4 linked regions of the Drosophila melanogaster genome follow. The protein of the gene in region 3 purifies or fractionates together with the protein of the main gene of each other region. This does not show direct contact. Each region holds a gene or a part of one and is shown on either strand. Other genes may lie near its edges.

Region 1 (7,711 bases), 3.3 Mb from region 3:
GTTTCCGTAAATGGTAGTGCGCGTATAGTAGTGTGCGTTTGCGTATGCGTGTGTGTGTGTGTGTGTGTGTGCGTTTTAGCCGACAAAGTGCAACACACAGCGCAATGACCGACGTACTCGAGCGTTGACTCGTTTCTGCGACAACTTTTCTCGCTCCTCGCCGATGGGAATAATGATCTCAGCGTAATGACGATTTTTAGCAGCCAGTAAGCTTGTTGATGCTGTGCCGATGACGTTGCGAACTCGCTCTCTCCGGGCCGCTCGCTCTCTCTTTCCCACACTCTCTCGGCCATTTTGCGGAAGTTTCAACTCACCGCAAAACGCTCCAAAATGAGCAGCCAAATTGCGAGTTCCTTCCTTAATTGCGCACTCGTATCGTTCATTTGTATTTGTATTCCCTCCCATCAGCATTTTCTCTTCGGCCATATAACAGTTTTCTCTTATACTTTCGCTTCGGTTTATAGCACGCACATTCCCGGTGACGTCACAAGGCTTTCCCAACGCTTTTTCCATAGAATCAGTTGTTGTTTGGGCTGCACAAGCCGGCAATGTAAACAAAACATAAAATATATGAATGGGTGAGTGAGTTGTGCGGGTGTCTGGGTTATTCGACTGCTTCGGCTGAGTGGGTGGCTGTTTTGGGTGGAAATTGGGTGACCCCGATGCACTGGTGTTGGTGCAAATTCGGCAATGCGTGTGCGCTGCGCCTGATGAATGAAAAGTTCGAGTGGCCGCGTGGAAAGCGGGAAAACATCTGAGCGTCAGCTGCACGGTCATATGTTTGATATTATTCCTGTGAAAGCGGAAAATGATTTTGAATATTAAAGGAAATCGATGCGGAAAATGTTTTGGAGTATTTAATAGCCATTAAATGGATAACGTAGATTTTGTCACAGGTTTATAAAATGTAGTTATAGGTAATATATTCACTAAAACAGAAACTGCCTTACACACTTTTAGTATATTGTTTTATTTACTTAAATTACCTAAGTAAATAAAAGTATTTTCAAATTGTTACAAAAAGCACACCCTTTTTTCTATTTTTGTTAATATTTGAATGCCCCACCAATCGATTGAATTTGAAGCCAATTCGTGATTCGGAAAGCGCAGAGTGTCCTGTATTAAATTCAGCCTTGCAGACAAATGCAAAAACCATCGACAGGCCGTGTCAGAAAACACACGAAAATCGAGTGAGCCCCAGAGCAATCGCATTTTAATTTGAATTCTTTCTGGTGAGGCCCTTACAAAAGCCCCCATGCGATGTGCACGACCAAAAAATGAACTTAAGTTTCGGCCAAGAATCTTGTTGAAGAATTTCTATTTGAGCATTTGTCATGTCTTCGCCTTAGTCTATAAAATATACTGTCGGTGGATGGGGACGCGGGGTGTGTGCAAATATGCGAAAGCTAAATGTCAGAGTCAACCCTTTCGCAGGCCATTCTGCCTGCTTTTTTTTCAGCCTTTTCTGGCCGGTGTTGCCGCCTTGGCCCCTTTTTTGGGTGGAAAGGAAAGTTTTTATCTTAAGCTGCGCGCTGACAGGCAGCAAAGCGGCAAGCGAGGCAACACAAGTACAAGCCGGACAAAGAAGCCAGGGGGAGTGGGGATGGGCTGGCCGAACGGAAAATGGGAAATGGAAAATGGACGGGCAACGACAAGGCGGGCAAACGTCAAGTTATAGAAAATGCTAGTGCCTGCACAATAAGAAAAGTGTCATCCGAATTGCTAATCAATGGAATGATGTTGAGGAGACTCAAAAGAAATTTAAAGACCTACTAATAAGAAAAAACTGAAAAATCATTAAGTTTTTAAACTATTCAAACATATTTAAATAATAATTTGTGCAAATTTATTATTGCTTAAAACAACTAAATAAAAATATATAATGTCATTCAAAGTTTCAAAAAAAATTTATTCAATTAAACAAAGGCCATTTTGTATCTTTTCAAAAGTATATGACTTAAAAATAGGTTCATTCATTTTGCTTATGCAAGCTAAGGACTCAGCTTTTTGTCAAAGTGCAGAAAAGGGGAATGAAACTGGTCTTAGAGGGAGAAAAAATTAAAGGACATGCTGAACGCATTCCTTGGGACACGGGCTGACAGTGAGTGATTTGACCATACCCTCATTTGCGTGCAGCAAGGACCAAGATCCGAGCTCTGGGTTCCGGGTTCCGGGGTTCCGACTACCGAGATCCAGGCACACCAATGGATTAATGTGCAAGGATGCGACTCGTCAGGCAGGCCAAGAAAATTACGTCAAGCTACGCAATGGGCCCGTGCCTTTCCCACTGCCCCCCACCACCCCACAACCTAACCAAATCCAACCCAGCCCAGCACAACCCAAACCATTATCCTTTTGGAAATCTGATGATGAGCGCCGACTGCTGCGGGCGGGCGACTCAAAATGGGAGTGACTCATTTACGCGCTGCACTCGAGTTTCAACCGGCAGCCGGCGAAGGAAAAGCGGGACTCCGAGAACTTTTCCAAGCTATTTCTGCGCCCAAATGACAGCGAAATGTAATAATGAAAAACTTTTTCTTTGTCAACTTGATGAGTATGAAATTTTTCACAAAAAAAAAAAAAGAAAAAAGATTAAATAAAATAAAAGACGAGCGGCAAAGGAACGGGTTGAGCTTGGGTGGCAGGGCGGTGAGCTAGAAATATGAAACGTCAGGACTGGTCCTTAGTCTTAGGTTGGCCTTAGTCTTGGTTGGCCTTCGAGATTAGTTATGGCAAAGGAATTTCCAAGCGAAGGCGCACGCAAATGATTGCATGCCGCATTACGCATACGCCCGGTTGTGCGTGGCCGGTTTTAAAATTGAATTTTAATATACAGCAGACACAAAGAGATGTACATGACCATATGTATATGTATATAGCTGATCCCTGGCCATGGCTGCTATAAGCCAGGTTATCCAGCCACCCCGAAAAAACACATGTTCTGCATTTTTACTTTGTACTGGACCAGGACCCACGGTCCATCATCCCTACCATTTTGCTGCTGCACCGCATCGGGGATTGCGGAATTCATAAGCTATGTGCGTTTGCTACAAAAGTGGAATTTTCGCCACGCCAAAGGATACCCGCTTGCAGGCTCCCAGCTCACAGTTCCCACTTCCCGTTTCCTAGATCCTGAGCATGCCATTAACCCACTCGCAAAAAGCGCAAAATCGCTTAAATTATTGTTACAAGCTGCCAGTGCCAAGTGGCAGGCACAGCAACAGCAAAAACAAGAACAAGACCAGGGGGGCAGGTGGCAGGTGGCAGGTGGCACAGGGCAAACCACCTGAGCTTTTGGCCGCGCTTTGCTTTGAGTGCCAGTTAGCATAACTCCGCAGGCCGCAGGCGAATATGTCTGTTGTTGCTGCTTTTGCCGCTTTGCTACTCTCCTGATGTTGGGTGCTGCTCCTGATTTTGCTGTTGCCGTTAGAAGTATTTGTGGCGCGGCAAAGGACATCCTCTCGGCAGCCCGTTCTCACCTGCCTGCCAAGCTGCAAGCTCCAGCTGAAAGTGTCTTTGGTGAGCGCTACCCACCACCTAAATATACAAAGTGTGGGGGAAAAACAAGAAAAATAACAACCTACAATAGTCTCTTCTTTGTTACCTAAAAATATAAGAAAAGCACACCTCGCAATTGTGTTGAAAAAAACAAATTGATACGAAAAAAAGCGATAGGGATGCCACAACAAAGCGCAATCTTATCAAACGTATTAAACATTTTGCTTATCAAAACAGCGAGGTTTGCACAACAATGCGAAATAGGAGGAGGCAAAATTCTTATCTGCATTTCATCAGTCAAACATTTACTGTAATCAAAAATCGCAACTATAAGGAACACAAGTAAAGGCCACAAATGAGAAGCAAATTATTGTTCGATATCCGTGAATTTGAAGGGGAACGTAATGGCCGGTTCCATGACGAACATGGTCTTGAATGGACGGCTGGCATCCCGATTGAACTCCACATGGAAATTGCGAATCAACTTGGCCACTGTGGTCTCCATTTCCAGATCCACCACCCGTTTGCCAATGCACATGCGGGGTCCAAAGCCAAAGGGAAGGAACGTGAAGGGGCTGACCTGCATCTTCTTTCCGGTCTCCGGATCCCTTAACCAGCGCTCCGGCAGAAATTCATCTGGTCGTGGATAATATGTAGCTTCCTTCATCAGCACATTTGAGCCGAGCAGGACAGTCGTTCCCTTGGGCACCCGGTAACCCGAAAGTATCACATCATTTTGGCAGGTTCTCATGGTTCCCAAGCCATTGGGATAGTATCGCAGTGTCTCCTTGATCACAGCCCTCAAATATGGCATATCCTTCATGTTCTCCTCGTTGAGTAGGGAATCCTTTGTGGGCATGATGCTCAAGAGCTCCTCCCGCAGTTTGGCCTGCTTATCCGGATGCTTTGAGAGGCAGAGTAAAACAGCCGACAGAAGCGTGGCTGTGGCATCCACACCAGCGAATAGGATGTCCAGACTCATAATCACCGCCACCTTGGGATCGATCTCCATTAATCTCTCCAGCATACTGTTACTATTTATTTTTTCGCCAGCCTGGCGGCGCTTTTCCAGTGCATCCTGATTTTCCTTCAGCATTTTCTGGGCCACATTCAAACTGTCATTGAGAGTTCGCTTCATTTTCCTGTAGGTGGGCGTCGATATGATCTTCCACATGGAGGGCTGAATGTCTAGCTTAAATGTGAGACGGAAAATATCCCTCGAGGTCTGGAAGAGGGTCAATGCATCGGAATTATCGCGGTTTTTTCTAATCAGACCCATTTGCCGATCGAAAGCCACCAGGCCGAGTGACTCGAAAACAAGCCGGCTTATTTCATCCGTAAAATCTTCGGGGACTTCTAGAGTTTTTGGATCGCGGATTTCCTTAATGCTGCACAGTAAAATGGAATTTATTGCTATATATAAATAACAATTCAATAACAAAAATTTCTTACCGCTCTATAAACTCATTATTGATATTAGACAATGGTTCATAATACATTCTCAAGCCCCTGGGTTGCATAAAGATGGGATTAATGGCTGATCGTAGTTTTCCCCATGCCTCATTTTGTCTGAAATATTCAAATTCAATTGTTTCCTTGCTACTTATTAGATTTTATACTCACGAAGCCACCAATCCTTGAACCTCACCGTAAACATCTGGTCGAACGTGTTCGCGGAAATATACAATGGAATCCAGGCCATCACGACGTGGCCAGATACCCTCGTTGCGGAATACCATCTCAATGTCCTTTGTGTTGAAAGTGGTGACCCAATCCTTGCGGCCAAACATTCCGGGCATTACATAGATATCTCCATAGCGCTTTCGCATGGCACTGGTGTATTCCGTAATCGATGCATTTTGGAATTCACCACCGGGCATGAAAGCCCTCATAAATTTGAATTTGTTGGGCCGCGGAATCTCATCGTAGGTCTTGTGCTCCTCCGTTATCTATAATTGGAAACTAATAACATGATAAATCTATTTCGACTGGATTTTGTGCATACTAACACTAGATTTAGCTTGTTCATGTGCCAAAACGGAGGCTGATCTTGAAGATCGAACGGGACCCACGTAAATCGCCACAGATCGCGCACTGCTCAATGTATTCATTCTATTCCTTTTGGTGATCAACTGCAACTAAAAACAGTTCCACTTTCGAGAACGTTCTTATACCAAAGGCTTATCTCTAAAACGTAGAAAAGAGAGGAGAGCGAATAACTTGAAATGCTTCAAAATGCAAAAATCTCAAACAAAAACAAAAGCCAGCAAACAAAGCATGAGTTTCATTTTCTTATCAGCTGAACGGTATAATCGCCGTGAATTGCCTACCTCACTCAACTGAAAAAATAAACAAATGAACGTGACTGGCTAGAAAAACAAATTGAGAGCGTTGGAACTTACAATAAATACACCTCAGAGAATTTGATACTACTATTACGACTATTACATACCCGTTACTCATTTAGTGGGATCGCTAGAAAAAAATCTAAAATATTTAAATATTTTTTAAAAATTTATAAGGATTCTAGTTCAACGGTAGACAATTTCAAGATAAATAACCAAATTAAAGAAAAATAAAAACAATTCTTAGAGTTGATCCTTGTTCTCTTTGCATACTGATATTTTATTTATTTTTTATTTTATTTATTTACTGGCGCCGCTTTTCCACAGAGTCCTCGGTGTCCTTTATCATTTTCTGTGAGAACATTAAGATGTCATCGAGAAGACGCATCATCATCCGAAAGTTTGGAGTGGAGATAAATCTCCACATTGATGGCTGTATATTCAATTGAAAGGCATATCTGAACATCGTGCTTCGTGTTTTGGAACACAGTCAATGCATCTGGATCGTCTCGATTTCGACTGATCAAACCCATTGGGCGATCGAAAGCCACCAAGCCAAGGGATTCGAAAACCAGGCGGCATCTCCAGAGTTCTAGCATCTCGAATTTCTTTAATGTTGGAGAAAAAGTAAAACTCAGGTGGACATCGAAATATACAAGTATGAATTAATTCTTAGCGCTCAATGAACTAGTTGTTGAACTCATAATAAGTTTTCAATCCTTTGGGTTGCATAAAAATTGAATTGACGGCTGATCGCATCTTGCCCCACAACGCTGCTTGCCTTAAATTATAGTTTCCAAATTAACTTCCGCTTTTGATATACATATGTAATTATTTGGTAACTTACGCGAATATCAGACCCACACTTTCTCCATAAATGGAAATATGTGATCGAGGGAAAGAAATCCTTTTCCGGCCAAGTTCCCTCACTGCGGAAAACAGTCTCGATATTCTTTGTACTAAATGTGGTGACTCAATCCTTGCGACCAAACATTCCAGGCATTATGAAGATATCACCATAACAACTTCTCATCGCTGCTGCATAATCCAAAATTGAGGCATCGTGAAATTCTCCACCCGGCATAAATGCCCTTGCAAATTCCTGTTTTCTGGGAAGTGGAATGTTCTTATAGGATCTCGCTTCAGTGACTACACTATCGGCTACCTTAATATCCAGATCACATATGTATGTTAGTGGAATACCCGATTGTGGTGATAGTATTTCAACTCACATTGGCCAAAATCTGTGCCTGACTAGAAGATGCCCTCACAAGCTGAATGGATTGCGCATTCTGCGCAATACTCATAGTTAATTTTATTAACTGCTTGCCTAAAATGACAACTGAGCTGGGAAGCCTGCCAAAATGCTTATATAGCATCGCATCCCAAGAGGAATAACAAAACGATTCTCTACAAATTGAAAAGCTGCAATCCAGCATGACTCCTAAGAATTCCCACCATCACAGTGATAGAAAGCGAAATTATTGCCGTAAGTCAAGAAAGCTTGATACTGCTAAAAAAATATCAACCGCTCATATTCAATATAAGTATGTTATTGTTCAGACATAGGCTTATATGCTCAGTAGAAGATATGTTTTATTTTGATTTCTGTCGGAATGCCTTTTAGTAACATCCTTTAGTAACATCTCTTTAAACAGCGAGGTTTGCACAACAATGCGAAATAGGAGGAGGCAAAATTCTTATCTGCATTTCATCAGTCAAACATTTACTGTAATCAAAAATCGCAACTATAAGGAACACAAGTAAAGGCCACAAATGAGAAGCAAATTATTGTTCGATATCCGTGAATTTGAAGGGGAACGTAATGGCCGGTTCCATGAGGAACATGGTCTTGAATGGACGGCTGG
Region 2 (5,150 bases), on a different chromosome or scaffold from region 3:
TGATGCTGGAAGTACTCGTAGTGACCGACATGATCCGGATGGTGTTCCGTTGGCGGTGAATGGATCCTCGACGGTGGGCTGTGGTGCTGTCCCTTGGCGGCGTGGCCGGAGGTGGTGCTATGATGCGCTGCCTGCTTCTGTGAATGGCCACCTGCTCCTCCATGATGACCACCGCTGCTGGTATGATGACCATGTCCGTGGGCATGATGGTGATTGTGGGTTGGCGGCGAGGGCATGTTGTGGCCGCTGTGGGGCAGATGCGACGAGTGCTGCACACCCACCTGATGTCCGTGGTGGTGAGGAACATGACCTTGGGACGCCTCCATCAGCGTTGGCTGGATGTGGGTCACAAACTGGGCCATTTTGCCGCAACCTTCAACTACTGCTCCCTTTTTGTTGTGGTTTCTTTGAGGTTTGGGCTTAGGTAACACTTGTTTAAAATTTCACTCCTCTATGAGGCGGTTTTTTTTTTTGGGAAGGCGGGGGTGGCACTTTTATATGTATCCCAAAAGTGGGAGTGGGTAGCACAAAAAAACACACACTACGGCTGGCTTGCGGACGAGTTGTGGGCGACGGAGGATTTGGGCTCGGACCGTGGACAACCTTCTCGCAGGAGCAATGTCAAATGACTGACTAGGAGCAGCTATCCCAGTTGGGCCTTAGACGCCACAGGACTCGCCACCCGCCATCGCACCACCCGAACCACTTCGGCTCCAGCTCGGCTGTGCGCGTTCGTCCTCGTCGTGGCGGAAGAGCTTTAACCGGACCCAGTTTTATGCGCCTGGCCTGGCTGATAAGAGATACCACTCGCTTCAACGGCTGATTACGACTTTGGATGGCTGCGGATGCTGATTTAATGATGTCTTCGTGCCGCGCCACGTAGTGCTCTGTTTTTTATATCTGCCTGTCAACTGTGTCACGGATTTCCAATTCGTTTCGCTGGAGATTTTTTTGTCGCTGGGAGGCGGGGCTGCAATCTGTTATTTTTAAAACAGCCAGAGGAACATGTTCCGTCTATTTGTGTCAAGCGGGAAAGTATGCTCCGATTGTTAAGCACCTAACAGGTGGCAGCGAAGTCTAACGACTAGGGACTATCCTGTTGGTTCTTATTTTATTATTTAACATATCAAATCATGTTTTAAATGTTTTGAATATGGAAAAATGGGGTTAAAAAGTTAAAGCGAATGAAACCTATAATTATCTAATTGTCTCTACATTTTATTCTAAACTAACCAAAATATAGTATATTACTATTTAATATGAATTATCCCTCAATGACCTCTGCCGACGAACATTTTCAAGCCTAATATACCCGATTGTATTATTTTATACCTATTGCCCAGAAGCAATACGTTACGTTGTGAACTGAAAGCTTTTACCTTACGTAGATTGCTGGGCATTACGTTAAAGCTATGTTTTATTAAGCTTATTTCGTAGGGTATTTCGTGTGGTACATTGATATCTTAAAAAAGGGGGTGTGTCTCTTCATACACATATGCCTATGTACTTGACAAAACCTGGATGAAATGTACAGTTGGTATTTTAAAAATATTTTACAATACAATTTATTTATATAAGCATTATATTACAATTAAGGCGAGGTACAAACAAATTTGTTAACTCTTCGAAAAGCTTTGGGAAAGTTCCATCAACAGCGCATACAAATGTCTGCGAAATCTTCCCTTATCTCAACCTCCTGCATATATTTGTAGGTGCATATGCTTGTAGTTCGTTCGTCACCACGATTCTGTAGCTTTTGCGACTGCCAGCGCAACAAGGTCCAATGTCCAAGCGTCGCTGCCATATCGCGATGAACCAATGTACATATGTATGTACATATATAACATCGCTATACCGGCGCATCGGCAACTCGTTTGGATCATTTCGCTGGCAGCCACCGACGAGTTAGCAAGGCGACCTAGTTAAAACTCAGGAAAATACGAAAATAAACCCACATTCAAATGGCGTTCCTCAACAAGGTGAGCATATCAGTCAATTTACAACGCAGAGAAAGTGAAAAACACATCGCTGGGACATATCATATCCAAAGGTCCAAAGTTCTATCACGCTAGTGACGACAGCAACTGTTGATCGTAGGATCATACATACATATACATATGTACCTACCAACAAACATATATTCGAGTGGGTTCCGTTTCGAAAACAATTTGTTGCTGCCTATCTGTTAGCAATCATCTGTACTTTGCCCCCCCTGAGAAAGTATTATTAGCGGCGTCTAATGGCGGCTTATCGTGCACTCTATTTAAATCGGAATGCAAACTTTATGGGCAGGCATATTCGTTATCTGTTTTATGAAAAAAATAGAATGTGATGGTTGGTTATGAACCTCAAACATCCAAAGTCCCTTGTAAATATAAAAAAAACCTTCGTCTATGATCATGATGTTGTATTAATTAAATACATACGTAGTTGGCCCATTTTATTTGTTGCTTGTAGTTAAGATTAATTCGCGGTCAACTTTGTTGTTGTTCTGATTATTTCTACATTTTCATTTTGCATTTCGATAAACACTTGTTTACCAGTTGACTTTAAATCCGATATCCAATATCCGAAAATCCAGCTTGCTGCGCCTGCCCTGCGCCAGTTGGTGTCCCAAAGTCGCGCCTACGCCGCCGTGTCACACGTTTCGCCCAATGGCACCTCTTTCGCACTCACCGAGGATCAGCTGCAGCTGCAGGAACTGGCACGTAAGTTCACCCGTGAGGAGATCATCCCGGTGGCCGCCCAGTACGACAAGAGCGGCGAGTACCCGTGGCCCATCATCAAGAAGGCCTGGGAACTGGGCCTGATGAACAACCACATTCCTGCTGATATTGGTGGCCTGGATCTCGATGTGTTCACCACCTGCTTGTCGGCCGAGGAGTTGGCCTATGGCTGCACTGGCATCATGACCGCCTTAGAGGCTAGTGGTCTGGGCGTAAGTTTAAAGTCATGTCTATTTACGGCAAGATGATCGAAACGCCACGTTCTTTCATAGCAAACTCCTGTGATCCTGTCCGGTAACAAGGAACAGAAGAAAAAGTACCTGGGCCGCCTGCTGGAGGAGCCACTTGTCGCCGCCTATTGTGTTACAGAGCCCGGAGCAGGATCCGATGTGTCCGGCATCAAGACACGCGCCGAGAAGAAGGGTGATGAGTGGGTAATCAACGGCCAGAAGATGTGGATCACCAACGGTGGTGTGGCGAACTGGTACTTTGTGCTGGCCCGCACCAATCCGGATCCCAAGTGCCCGCCCAGCAAGGCCTTCACCGGGTTCATTGTGGAGCGCGACAGTCCCGGACTAACGCCCGGCCGCAAGGAGTTGAACATGGGACAGCGCGCCTCCGACACGCGTGGCATCACCTTCGAGGATGTGCGCGTGCCCAAGGAAAATGTGCTGATTGGCGAGGGTGCCGGTTTCAAAATTGCCATGGGCACCTTTGATAAGACGCGTCCTCCAGTTGCTGCCGGAGCTGTGGGTTTGGCCCAGCGTTGCTTGGATGAGGCTCTTAAATACGCGCTGGAACGCAAGACCTTTGGCGTGCCCATCGCTTACCACCAGGCTGTGCAGTTCATGCTGGCTGATATGGCCATCGGTGTGGAGACATCCCGTCTGGCGTGGCGTCTCTCCGCCTGGGAAATCGACCAGGGACGCCGCAACAGCTACTATGCCTCCATTGCCAAGTGCCATGCCGCCGATATGGCCAACAAGATTGCCTCCGATGCCGTCCAGATCTTTGGAGGCAACGGCTTCAACAGCGAGTATCCCGTGGAGAAGCTGATGCGTGATGCCAAGATCTACCAAATCTACGAAGGTACTTCTCAGATCCAGCGCCTCATCATTTCCCGAAACATGTACGAGGCTGCTAAGGGTCAAGCCTAAGTCAGTTTTAACTAGGATTCCTCATCTCCATTCACCTCATCAGTTGTCATGCTCATTGTAGACACATTCACAAATCCGATTAATAAAGTACAATAAGTAAATAATTACAAGAAAATATAAATCATTGATTGTGATTTGTCTGTTGAGGGAAATGTTGTATAAATGGCACTTGGTAATTTCTAAGGAATTACTTATTCCTCAAGTGTATAAAAGGAAGGAAGAAGTAAGCAAACAGTCAGTGCGTTAGTATGTTTACTAATTCTTAATATTTCAAGTTTCTCTAATCTTGCCCTCACTTACCCCCAAAATTGTAGAGTCTAGACCATCGCAAATTATTTCGCTAGCTATCATCCATTGATAAGATAAGCCCTGTGGGGGCTGAGTGTTTGTTCTACTTAGGTTCAACGAATCGCTGTTCTGCTATCAACTGAACGATAAGACTTACTGTACTTAGATTTGCTATATAATTGTCAAACAATAAAAAATGCTCTGGGACATACAACACAAGGAAATGGTTTACACATGATGAGACTACACTATTCCGCATCGCTTCCATCAGCGAGTAGCTTAAGTAGACCTTTGTACCGCCTTCCAATTTTCCGGCTATTTGATGTGGTCAACATTTTGGCCTTGTCTCCAAATTGCAGCTGCCAAATGGACTGAAGTGTTTCCAGGGCTCCTGGCATGGAGAACACCTGCTCATCAACTGTTAATTCTAAGCGCCTGGGCAGCTGCTTTAGTTGTTCGAGTTTTTGCAGACGAATGTCATCCAGTAGATTTGTACAATTAACGGCCAAAAGATCGCGTAATTGAGGTAGTTCATCTAATATGTATCCAAGAGTAGTTCCACTTAAATTGCTATTATCACTGATATCCAACATCTGTAGTTGTTTGGCTTTGGCCAAATGCTGGCTGATATTGTACATATGCGCATCGTTCAAGCCGCAGCCAGCGAGCTGCACTCCGACAAATCGCTCGCAGGTACCACCTTCGAAAAGCGTAACCAGGCGCTCACTCAACGCAAATCCACTTGCATCGTCGAGGGGCCAGCGCACATAACTGAGATTCAATTGCTCCAGCCGGCAACTATTCAGTTGATCCGTTAGCCGACGCACACTCTGCTGTGTAAGTTGATTAAAGCTGATATCAAATCGCGTCAACTTATTGAATCCCAGGTCAAAATCCTGCAGTTCCGTCAGTTCACATTGAGCAAGTTGAAGGCATGTCAGAGCTTGACCAGCGGGACTGGCACAATATTTGCTAAGAA
Region 3 (5,820 bases):
GAAATTATTATGAATTAACATAAATAAAGAATTAAGTATTATGTTTAAATTTATATTAGTAGATTTTTTTTTGGCATAATATTTTAAGGAAAGTTGTGGCTTTCGGTTTTGAAATACATTTAACTCCAGATGTTCCTATTTCCTAAACATTCCCTAAGATTTCAATAGTCTCAGTGCCGCATACGATACACAGCAGTTATCGATTACAAAAAGAGTGCAGATCTGAAAGCGCACGTTGAAATTAAACCGATTCTTTACTGTTTTATAATAAAATGTTTTATATTGGGAATGAAAATGGACGAAACTGTGGACGAAGCGGAATTTAATGCCAATATCGGCCGTATTGCTCGATCTACGCTTTTGCACGATGCTGAACAATCGATCCACAGGGAGTTGATCGACTACGCTGTTGCGTCGTGCCGTCTGTTTTACATCCAGGATGCTTCAGCCTGGAAGGAGTGGAACACCAGGAACGAGGCTTTCAGGGATCTCACTGCCAAGGAAGTGTGCCATTTATTCCTAACCGAAGTTCTGCCCCAACTGGACACCTATCAGCTTTCGGAGATGGCCCAAAAACGCCTTAAGCTTCTGGATCTGCATCCATTCTTCAGGCGCGTTGCCCAAGGCTACCAGTACACTCCGGATTGTGACCTTGCAGCTCGATTTGTAGTCCAGCGCCAGAAACATTTTATCCAACCTGAAGATATCAAGAAGATTAAGGTAAGCATATCTGTCGGCGAATAATTTTGATGCCAATTTACTATGTACATGCATAAATATGAATGTATTTACTTAAAATTGCTTTCGTTAATAAACAATAAGTACCCTTTTTTTAATTTAATTTAATCTATCCTTATGCAGTTATCCGGGCACTTACACATCACATTATAATCTTATATCTCTTACTCTCTTAATCCAATAGTATGATATTAATTTTTGCTCGATTTTTATAGAAAGGCGATTCCCTGAAAAGATGCCAAACCGTGCTCATGGAAAGCGATGAAATGGAGCAGAAAACCTGCGTTGGGTATCGAAGCAAAGTCTCCATGGAGTCCGCCGTTCTGTTCTCGGTACTGTTGTCCACCAACCATGAGCTTTCTATTGGAAAGATGCTCGATATGAGTGAGATTCACGAAAGAATGCGGCGCGCCAAACAGTCATTCGAGGATACTGCTAGAGTTACTCCGTTCCGAACGAACATTGATGACCTAATCTCCGATTTGGATGTCTGTGCTAAGGTCAAATCCAAACTTTGTCGAGTAATAAGTGATTGTAAAAAGTACTAGAAAGGATTAGCTATATCTTTTATCTATATTTAATACTTTTATTTCATTTTAATCAATAGTATAAAATTATTTCTCTGGATTTTAGGTGACTATAAGAAGACTATTTTTGTAATATTTTTGAACCATTTAAGCTCAAAATACAACTTACTATTCATATTTTAATATATAATTCCATGTTATCATGAATTTATTAGAATTTATATATACAAGTAAAGATTCGAAATTCAGCTTCGACCCGCTCCTTACGATTGTTATCTATATTATCAATTAATACATTAAGGTTGCTCATCATAATTGTTAATTGTTTGCTCATAAAAGCGTTTAAAAATGAAAGATGGGAAATACTTTTTTAGCTTTCCCTTATTGTCTCTAAAGTAAGATCGTAGTCATGATACAAGCTCTTCCTAAATGTGTAGAAATAATGATACATTTGTATTATATATACATAAACGCGAAATATTAAAAAGAAACATTCCGAAAATTAAAGAATTGCATTAGTTTACAACAAAAACTATCGAATCTCTCTAATCAAAACGACGCGCCAAGCCAAATTTAGTACATTATCTGTGCTGAATCATTTTCGCTGTGCCGCAATATTTAATTAACTGCAGCGATCATTGCAGTTTTAGCCACCAGAGAAGCGTAACATAGAAATCAAAATGCAGAAGGTTGCACTGCTTCTAGTCGCCTTCCTGGCTGCGGCCGTGGCCCACCCAAATTCGCAGGAGAAGCCCGGATTGCTGCGCGTACCGCTCCACAAATTTCAGTCGGCCCGCCGGCACTTTGCGGATGTGGGCACGGAGCTGCAGCAATTGCGCATTAGGTACGGCGGAGGTGATGTGCCGGAACCGCTGTCCAACTATATGGACGCGCAGTACTATGGGCCCATTGCCATTGGCTCGCCACCGCAGAACTTCCGTGTGGTTTTCGACACCGGCTCCTCGAACTTGTGGGTGCCGTCCAAGAAGTGCCACCTGACCAACATCGCCTGTTTGATGCACAACAAGTACGATGCCTCCAAGTCGAAGACCTACACCAAGAACGGCACTGAGTTCGCCATCCAGTATGGCTCGGGCAGCTTGTCCGGATACCTGTCCACGGATACGGTGTCCATTGCCGGCCTGGACATCAAGGATCAGACATTCGCTGAGGCGCTCAGTGAGCCGGGCCTGGTCTTCGTAGCTGCCAAGTTCGACGGCATCCTAGGCCTGGGCTACAACTCCATCTCGGTGGACAAGGTGAAGCCGCCATTTTACGCCATGTACGAACAGGGTTTGATCTCCGCTCCGGTGTTCTCATTCTACCTGAATCGCGATCCCGCCTCGCCCGAGGGCGGTGAGATCATCTTTGGCGGCTCCGATCCCAACCACTACACTGGTGAATTCACCTACTTGCCCGTTACCCGCAAGGCCTACTGGCAAATCAAGATGGATGCCGCCTCCATTGGCGATTTGCAGCTGTGCAAGGGCGGTTGCCAGGTGATCGCTGACACCGGTACCTCACTAATTGCTGCGCCCTTGGAAGAGGCCACCTCTATTAACCAGAAGATTGGTGGAACTCCCATCATCGGTGGTCAGGTGAGTACCATGCTCTAAGTTCTCACATGAAGCACTGCTAATCCTCTTAATTTCTTACTTTAGTATGTGGTTTCTTGCGATCTCATTCCCCAATTGCCGGTAATCAAGTTTGTGCTGGGCGGAAAGACCTTCGAGCTCGAGGGCAAGGACTATATTCTCCGTGTGGCCCAGATGGGTAAGACCATCTGTCTGTCCGGCTTTATGGGCTTGGACATCCCCCCTCCAAACGGACCCTTGTGGATCCTCGGTGACGTTTTCATTGGCAAATACTACACCGAGTTTGACATGGGCAACGATCGTGTGGGCTTCGCCGATGCCAAATAATCGAACAAAGAAAAGTATACTTAAAATTTAAATTGTAAACATTATCGATCGATCCCATTGCGGGTTTCTCCGAAGAATAATATATAAATTATCATTTTAGTAGATTTTCCATATATTTATTAGCGTAAGTTTATTAATTACAATAGGGCTTGCGCGGTCTGCACTTAATGAGACGAATAGTAAGTACGTGGCGATGACCGACGCTTCTAATCTTCCAAAATCGACTAACTTAAGTATAGCAAGAGTTCTTATCTCTAAAGCTTAACAAGTTACAGTTTCTTATAGGTAAAGCTCGATCTATAGATGGGAAAAGCACTTGAGGCTTACGACTATATTTCGGGTGTTTTGTGATTGTGTTAACTCCTCCCCTTCTAAGACGAAGGCTGTCCACAGACTTTTTACAATTGGCAAATCTATTTGAAAGCGGATCTTACGGGTAACATTGGTTGTGCACTAAGTTCCCATACTGCCAACCTGGTACTGCGTTAAACCATCGAAGGGAAGGCAGCTCTGCGTGTCTGGATGATCCGAGAAGTTCGTAAATGCTGCTGATTCTCCATGTCATGGGTTCGCAACAAGGTTCTGGAGATGATCGTAGCGAACTTGGAAAAAATCTTTATTGTAACCGTCGACTTGTTGACGACGATGATGCTGATGTTGGTTGAACTAGTTGACCATCAAAACGTATGTGTTGAACGCACTCTGGTTGGCGTCTGATGGCAGATATTATTCAGTTCGTCGTTTCAGTACCCAGGCGCAGAAATAGTTGCCGCATCTTTACGTCTTTAGCAGATACTACGTTGATAGATCTTAATTCCCTCTTCTACTCTTCTCATCTACTTAAGAGGTAGTTACAGTTTTAATACTAAAGTTTTGACAATAATTAAGTATAACAATTATAATTTTATAATAAAGTTCATTCAGATATTTTTGATATTAAAGTATGTAGTAAAACGCTTATTGATTGCAAGTATTGATTTTCCTATTTAGTTGAACAGAATCAGGAAAGGGTATTGATAACATTAGTGTTTTATTTTTTTTTAATCGGGAATTTGAAATCTAATTAGAGTGAGTGCGCTATACTGTTATTATGCCGTTTTGGTAATGCATTTATTTTCTATGGTAGTTTCAGGAAATATTTGTGGTTGCGTGGACTTTAAGTTTTCAAATCATTCGGGTCTAGCATTTCATCACATACCTTTAAAATTTTCTAAAGAGGATGAAGCGGAAATAATACAAAATGTTTAAAGATTAAATAAGAAGGATTTGACAAATATTTAATTGAAAAATGTTTGCAAACTCTTTTACTAGTGTTCAGATTTCACGTTTGTATTTTGCTAACTTGGCGATGGTCACAAAAGGAAAAGAAATACTAAACCTAGCGTAGATTATCTTTATGAACGACCCTCCCTTTTATGAGGACCGTTGTCCCGAGGTCTGCTTCGATTAGTTCTTCCCTATACCGTGGGGTTAGTTTATTTCCCAAGCGATTGTTTTGTTTTACCATGACGGTTTCTCCCACCTCAAAGGTTCTGTCTCGTCTTGTTACATTTTCTCTTCTTAGCTGTTTTTCCTGAGCTTCGTTAACCATTTCTACTATCTCGTTAGCCAATTCGGGAGGAGTTGAATGAATAATGTCGATCGGTCTTCTATTGGTGACTGAGTGCACCGTCTTATTGTATTCTATTGTTGCCTGAAGAATAAGGTTGACTGTATCATTCATTCCACTGTCAAGTTTCAGGCATCGAGCTATTTCTAAAAGCGTGCTGTGAAACCTTTCAACCTGTCCGTTTGAGGTACTATGAAGTGGAGGTGCGTTCGCTATGTCAACATTAAAACGATTTTTCAAAAGTGACTTGATTGACTCGGAATTTATGGACGGTTCATTGTCACAAAATATTGTCTTTGAATGGGGAAAAAAGTTCATTAGTTGCATAATTGCAGGTTCTAAATCAGTTATCGTTCGAGAGCCGATTGGTTGCACAATAGCGAATTTGGAAAATTTGTCAATACATGTCAAAAAGTAATTCCTGTCCGTAGAAAATATATCAATATGCAATGTCTCGCCTACATGTGACGGAATAGGTGTTCTCCCGAGGATTTGCTTTTGCGGATGGCGGTCGTATTTGGCTTTTTGACAAACCAAGCAGTTAGAAACAAAGGTAGCGGCTATTTGTGACATTTTAGGGAAAAAGTAGTATTGAAGAATTTGTTTTACATTCTCCTGTGCTGCCCTATGCGCTCTGTTGTGCTCCAAAGACACTATTTCCCGTTGCTCAGTTTGATTAAAAATGTCGCTGACCATTTTCATAGTGTGTCGGAAGGTTGTTGCTGGAAAGTCATTTACAAGACTGTTTTGAATGAAAGCTAGTACAGGTAATTCGCAGTGTATCGCATTCACTACATCCGGCTTAACCACATCACGAATTCTTCCGATTAAGGTCTCTTTGTCTAGAAACTGTATTAGATGCCTTGTCTTGCTTCCGAAAATAACAAAAGTTCGAGTTGAGTCTGCGGTGCCCTCATCTATCACAATTTGGTTTCTAAAACAGTTAACCGGCTTGTCGATAGTTTCGATTGTAAAAGTCAATGAAATTTCGCTATGTATTGTTGCAATGTCTGACTGGGGTTCG
Region 4 (6,346 bases), on a different chromosome or scaffold from region 3:
TCCGAGGAACTGATAACGCTATCCGGGTTGGCTGCATCCCGTTGGCAGAATCTATTGGATTTGGAGCTAATCAAGCAACGTAACAAGCCCAAGGCACCACCAAAAGCTCCCAAACAGGCCCCATTCTTCCTGCCCACGGTTTCGGGACTGGAACTGCGCTTCGATGTGGAGAACGGTCAGAAGGAGGAGGATGAATCCCGGATTCGGAAGGCTTCTACTCTCAACAATCTTACTGCCTTTGGCCAGCTGCTGGAGGAAACTGCTGACTCCCTGGACTTCGCATCGGCTGTGGCGCACTTGACCCAACTAGGACCATCGATGGTTGACTTTGAGATCAAATCTCTGCACCCGGAGGCTGGAGGAACACTCCTTGCCATGCTGCAGTTCCTCAAACTCGTTAAGTTCATGTTTGGAACCAATCTGAACTTTGAGCTGGCTCAATCGTATCTAAGCGTCTTCTTGCGATCCCACGGTCTCGGGTTGACGGAGTTCCCGGATTTGGTAAAGGAGCTGCGCACTGTGTCCCAGGTGCAGCAGGAGGCTTGGCAGCGTGTGGAGGAGAAGCTCATCTATGGAACTGGAGTTGTGGCCGCTCTCCGAAACTTTGCGCACTAGTTTCCACCAGATTATGTTGTAGTTCATTTTGAAATTTTGTAAATAAATTTACAAAACATTTTACATTTTGAATTTGCTTTTGATGTTATTCCTTGCGACAGGCAGGTCCGCAGATTCATTTATAGGATGCTTTATAATCCTCAACAACTACAAAATCCCTCATTATATCCTTAACGATTTAATGGCATTACCATATATATCCCAAACTATCCTTATCTTTCTTTTTATCTTTTACTTATCCCAGATAGCATTTTAAATAATGTACTCAAGACGAAACTACTGCCATATGCCTGATATCTCCAATTGGCATTATTCGAATGATTCACACCTGCGGGTGACTATGCAGCGATTATGGAATCAATAGATAGCCGGAGGAAGGCAAGTGATACTGGAACTATGGGAAGAAGAATATACAGCATTTGGGTTGAAATTGTGTATTAATTATTTATTTGTTATATCCGTTTAAACTAACGCTTTTATTTATGCTGGAATTAAATAACTTAAACTTGTTCCTAGACGTGTTCGCTGGCGCGGACTTTAGATACGGTTCTAGTGGCGGCTAATTTCAATTTCAGTTTAGTTTAGTTTCAGTTTCCGTTTTCGATTCTTTGACAATCCAACGCAACATAAACATAAAGAAAAATGTTGGTTTACAAACAACCACGCGTTATAGACATAGTGCATATATCTGATAAGTTTCTTTGATTTATACCTAAATATCGTAGCTTGCATGAAATAACTTTAGATCTCTCGATTGGTTGGGCCTCCTAGTGTGAATTGGATGGTGTTTTAAGGTGCTTTTGGGAGTTCTTCGGCACTTGCAAGCGCAATTACAGTGTTCCGGGAGCTGGTTTACATATTATTACGGCTTGTTGGTTGGGGTATTATTAGGGCTGTGTGTCCGGGGATGCAACACGCAGCGGGGGCGCTTAACTCGATGTGCACTGCTGGACGCGTGGGCCATCCTGATAGCCGCCATCGTCCTCATCGTAGGCCATGCGCTGGTGTTGCTGGCGACGTTGCTTGGGATCAAAGTCCTCCTGCGAAAGATAAGCAAATCGATAAATAAATTAATTATAAATAATATATTATTTATATATCGTGATATAAACTACTACTGAAATACTCACCAAAACCGTCTGCTCTGCATCGATTGGAATGTCAACCTCCGGCGCCGGGGGTAGGCACTGTTTAAGCGTGGGCACCACCGACGGATTGATCACCTCCGGGAAGATCACCTCGAACTGGATGATCAACGTGCCCTTCTCCATGGGGTTCTTGAAAATGGGCATACCCTCCTCGGCAATACACTTGGTCATCTCATGCCTGATAACCTCGCCGGGCTGTGTGGACACAATCAGATCGCGATCATCGAGCGTTTTAACGATTCGCTGGAATCCGCAGAGCGCTTCGACAAGTTGCAACGGCATCTTCATCATTAAATCCTGTCCGGCGTGCGCGAATGTGGAGTGCTCCTTCTCGTCCAAAAGAATAATAATATCGCCCGGCTGAGATTCCGGCTCATGATCGCCCTCTCCCGTGAACACGATCTTCTGGCCATCCCGCATTCCCTTCTCAATGTGCACTTCCAATACCTTGCGTTCCCGCACCGTTTTGCGGCCACTGCAGTTCTTGCAGCGGTCCTTCTCCTGAATGGTCTCGCCAGTTCCCGAACACTTGCGGCACACCTGCTCGATGTGCTGCATGATGCCGGGGGCGATCTGCTGAACCCGTGTCTCCACACCGTTACCACGGCACTGCAAGCACTTCTCAATGCTGCCCTTCTTGCCGCCGCGACCCTCGCACTTGTCGCAGATCACATTCTTCTGGAGCTGCAGCTTGCGGGTCGCTCCATTGTACAGCTCCTCCAGCTGTACGGACATCTGGTGCACCACGTCCTTGCCACGCCTCTCGCGCCTGCGTCCACCGCCACTACCTCCGAATCCAGCGCCAAAGAACTTCTCAAAGAAGTCCATAGGATTGCGGAAGTCACCGGAATCTGCGCCGCCCTTCTTGATGGCCGCCTCGCCGCCTTCGTCGTACACCTGTCGCTTGTCCGCATCGGACAGCACTTCGTAAGCCTGCGAAATGGCCTTGAATTTCTCGCCCTCGTTGGGGTTCTTGTCCGGATGGTACTTGAGGGCCAGCTTGCGGTAAGCCTTCTTCAGCTCGTCGGGCGTGGCATTAGGCTTCACGCCAAGTATATCATAATATCCAGTCTCCTTAACCATTTTGTTTGCTGTTTACTGTGAACAGACGAAGTAGTGCGTAATTACTATCTGGGAGCTTGTAAATAACAGATTGGGGAACAGATTTGTGTATGCTCCAGGCATATATAGGTAGAAATTATGAAGTTGTGTAATACCGAAAATTTTTGAAGTTTCAACCGATTTGGATGCCAGTTCTTATAAAAAATGAAAAAAAAAAATTTATTTTGTGGTGCTGTTTCTATGGCAGCTAGGTTCCCGATGGAAGTTATTGTCAGTTTTATATCTAATGACATTTCATAGTTCAAAGGGCTGATTCCTCTCTAACTAGTATTGTAAACAAAAATCAGTAACCTATATTTTGTTACCCATTTTTTTTTGTAGAAATACATTTTTCAAAATCCAGAAACCACTCGATCATATGACCCTTTCTTGTTTATTGATTTCTACAGCTGTGACTTGATGCCATCACCCATTTTTTTCCGTGTAATTTGGGGGGCAACGGAAAATAGTAGGCATTGCCGGAAGCTAGAGCCCGGGATTCAAGGTCGTTACGCCGCCATGTGTTCGCGAAAATAACTGCGACGTTTTCTAGTCGATTTTCTAGAACAATTGTCGTATTTCAATACGGCGAGCAGCTGACGCTCTCTTTCCCCCTTTCGACAACAACCGCTTCTCTTTCGCACGCACACATACACACAGTTTCTAGAAGTTTTCGTCAGCGCATTGCAGCCCTGGTTTTGCGAACGGCGACTGCAAAGCGGAGAGGGTAATAATGAAAAAACCGTAAAAGAACGAAAAGGGGAACAAATGAAAGGAGAAAGGGCAGAGTCGAAAATAAGAATGGAAATGAATTCTAGAAGCAGCCTTCGATTTAGCAGGCAAATCAATAGATACAATTATTATATTTTCACCAGTGCCTAGCACACACATGCACCAGACTTTGCGCTTGTATGCGTACCAACATGTGCCGCGCAAGACGCTGCGTCAGAAGAATTCGATTGAACAAAGAAGAGAAAAAAAGCTAGATGGCCATCGATTTTGCAAATCTAATGCCAAAAATCGAAGGCAAATTCTCTGACAAAAAACAATTATCGATGATTACTTAACGACAGAGATGAGAAAACCAAGCGCAAAGGAAGTGTCTACCAAGTAGACACACACATTGGCAAACCGCACAATGCGAGACGAAATGTGCAAAATCAGGTGGTAATCTTAATTAGCCCAGAGCCGCCCCAGCTCACCTTTTTTCGTGTCGTGTCGTGCCTAAAGCAAATAGTAACTTTCGCAGCCCGATTCCTGGAAGTTTCACTTTTACAACAAATTTAATTTACGTCGAATACTTTTCAACAGCTTACTATGGCCGCCACGCTAGGAAGAAAACTGGAAACCAGTGTGACCAGAGCGGCAAACGGCAAGAAAAACCACAACATCAGGGTTGCCTCGCACCGCAAAGGTCCGAAAACTGGTATTTTAGTCATTTTCAGGTGATTAGCAATTTTTGATAATTTGATGGGATATAATATGTATTTCTTAAGTGTGATGGGCATTACAGAAATAATTTTGGCAATGCATTAATAAATACTGTGTTGAATAAATATTTTTCTTATTTATTAAGTTGAGTGGTTCTCAAAGTACTCCTTCTGAGTCCACGATTCTTATTAGCAATCGTTAGCCCTGGTTAGTGATATTCATCAGCTGTTTAGCAGTACAGTAAATGGTCACACTGTTTTGAAAGCCGATTATTTAATAAACATTTGGAAAACTTTATAAAATAAAACTACTTATCCGAAATGAGACACGTGCAGTTTCTGGCCCGCACCGTTCTGGTGCAAAACAATAATGTGGAGGAGGCGTGTCGTCTGTTAAATCGCGTCTTGGGAAAAGAAGAACTGCTCGACCAATTTCGCCGCACGCGATTCTACGAAAAGCCGTATCAGGTTCGACTTTAAATAACTTAACTATTTATTATTATTTACTGTATTAAACTATTGTATAGGTTCGTCGTCGCATCAACTTCGAGAAATGCAAGGCCATTTACAACGAGGACATGAACCGAAAAATTCAGTTCGTACTGCGCAAAAATCGCGCCGAACCTTTTCCTGGATGCAGTTAAACTAGTTTTTGAGGCAATAAAATGTAGGAATTAAATAAATTGCTTATTTTCTAGTACGAGATTTGCTGTCGCTGTCGATAAATGGACTTTGCAATTTCGATTTTATCCATTCAAAAAAGTATGAAGTTTTTGTGTAAAATGCTGGCTTGCAAGTTTTAAGTACGCAGGGCTTCTGTCCGTAGGAGATTATGCCGGCTGCATAAGTGAGTGTGACCTTTCCACGTATCACGGTCTCCATTAAGGGTCCCCCGGAATCGCCGGGACTGGTGTCATTCCCATCCAGACCACCAGCACATATCTGACTGCCCAAATTAAAGTCATAATTTGATTTGCACACATCTGGATGCCGTTCCGCGATGAAGCTGCGCAAGAGTACCTCACTTGCAATTCCTTGTCCCATGTCTGGCCAGCCGGATGCTTGAAACTTTCGCTTATGCGCGGCCAATTTTTGGGCTCTTGGAAGGCAAATAGGTTGGATGGCTCTCGTATAGCTATAGGAAGATATAAAGATATATTATTTCAATTCATATCCTACTTCTATTTCGACCAGAGGAGAATCATTACTCACCGCACAGGAAACTTAAGACGCACGAGTGCTATGTCGTTTATCAGCCGCCTTCCCCGGTTGAATTGTTCATGCGTAATAATTTGGTCCACTTCAATTTCCATATAAAGAGGAGCGTACTGTCTTCTTCCATTCACAATAGCCCGATCGGGATTTGTGGACGTGTTATGTTCGCCCAGTCTCACTGTTTTGAGGGCATACGGATAGTCCATAAATGGATACTCCACGCAGTGCGCTGCGGTCAGGACGTACCAGTTGTTTATTAGGGATCCACCACATTTTGGTACCAGCTTCTGGGACAAATTGTTTTTATTTCCATATAACAGCATGGCCATCCAGGGAAACTCATTCAGCGCCGGTATTTTGCCCTTCGTAGGTTTTCTTCTTGATTGTCCACAAGTATCGTGTGGCAGATACGTTTCCCACTTGGGGCAGCACACTTTATTAGTGCCGCATCTTCTAAGACCTATTATATTTTTCCTGGATGAGTTCATAACTGCTCTGGTCCTGGGACACTTATCCAGATTCACGCATTCCGTATCAAATTGACACCCTGAAGGAAGGATAGATTTTAAATTGCGTACAAAGTTTATGCATGCTGAAAGTTACCTGCACCATTTGAATAAGGCACAAGAATTATTTGCAGCATAAGCAAAAATGATCCTATAAGTCCGAACAACATGTTGATCCACGAATATTTCACATACAACTGTTCAAGACTGTTAGGACTGTCGAAGCTATTTATTCTTATTTTTAACATTGTTCTGAGTAGTTTTATTCAATTTTTAATCAATTTATTGCTCATCAAAAGAACAATTTTTTATGCTAGTAGCGACAGAGCTC

What was found.
Region 1: the proteins of cathD (region 3) and Cyp12d1-p purify together in Drosophila melanogaster (affinity purification with mass spectrometry, with the first as the bait; one large-scale study listed by BioGRID). This does not show direct contact.
Region 2: the proteins of cathD (region 3) and Mcad purify together in Drosophila melanogaster (affinity purification with mass spectrometry, with the first as the bait; one large-scale study listed by BioGRID). This does not show direct contact.
Region 4: the proteins of cathD (region 3) and Droj2 purify together in Drosophila melanogaster (affinity purification with mass spectrometry, with the first as the bait; one large-scale study listed by BioGRID). This does not show direct contact.

The regions. Positions count from the first base shown.
Region 1 is NT_033778.4:11,116,240-11,123,950, forward strand, and holds Cyp12d1-p (cytochrome P450 12d1 proximal), read right to left. Parts: upstream 5,646-7,711; 5' UTR 5,610-5,645; coding exon 5,508-5,609; intron 5,448-5,507; coding exon 5,122-5,447; intron 5,068-5,121; coding exon 4,951-5,067; intron 4,887-4,950; coding exon 3,866-4,886; 3' UTR 986-3,865; downstream 1-985. Other genes in the region: Cyp12d1-d (cytochrome P450 12d1 distal), read right to left, coding at 7,632-7,711.
Region 2 is NT_037436.4:7,717,479-7,722,628, forward strand, and holds Mcad (Medium-chain acyl-CoA dehydrogenase), read left to right. Parts: upstream 1-1,871; 5' UTR 1,872-1,961; coding exon 1,962-1,979; intron 1,980-2,420; exon of another isoform or gene 2,421-2,581; coding exon 2,582-2,938; exon of another isoform or gene 2,939-2,998; coding exon 2,999-3,883; 3' UTR 3,884-3,994; downstream 3,995-5,150. Other genes in the region: CG7457 (uncharacterized protein), read right to left, coding at 4,420-5,150.
Region 3 is NT_033778.4:7,819,592-7,825,411, reverse strand, and holds the start of cathD (cathepsin D), read left to right. Parts: upstream 1-1,842; 5' UTR 1,843-1,945; coding exon 1,946-2,863; intron 2,864-2,926; coding exon 2,927-3,187; 3' UTR 3,188-3,301; intron 3,302-5,820. Other genes in the region: CG30383 (uncharacterized protein), read left to right, coding at 289-720, 954-1,286.
Region 4 is NT_033777.3:13,379,979-13,386,324, reverse strand, and holds Droj2 (DnaJ-like-2), read right to left. Parts: upstream 4,220-6,346; 5' UTR 4,181-4,219; exon of another isoform or gene 4,122-4,180; 5' UTR 4,067-4,121; intron 3,504-4,066; exon of another isoform or gene 3,213-3,503; intron 3,061-3,212; exon of another isoform or gene 2,862-3,060; 5' UTR 2,847-2,861; coding exon 1,746-2,846; intron 1,656-1,745; coding exon 1,545-1,655; 3' UTR 1,042-1,544; downstream 1-1,041. Other genes in the region: CG9799 (uncharacterized protein), read left to right, coding at 1-615; mRpS21 (mitochondrial ribosomal protein S21), read left to right, coding at 4,616-4,762, 4,822-4,938; CG8870 (uncharacterized protein), read right to left, coding at 4,982-5,429, 5,507-6,056, 6,113-6,185.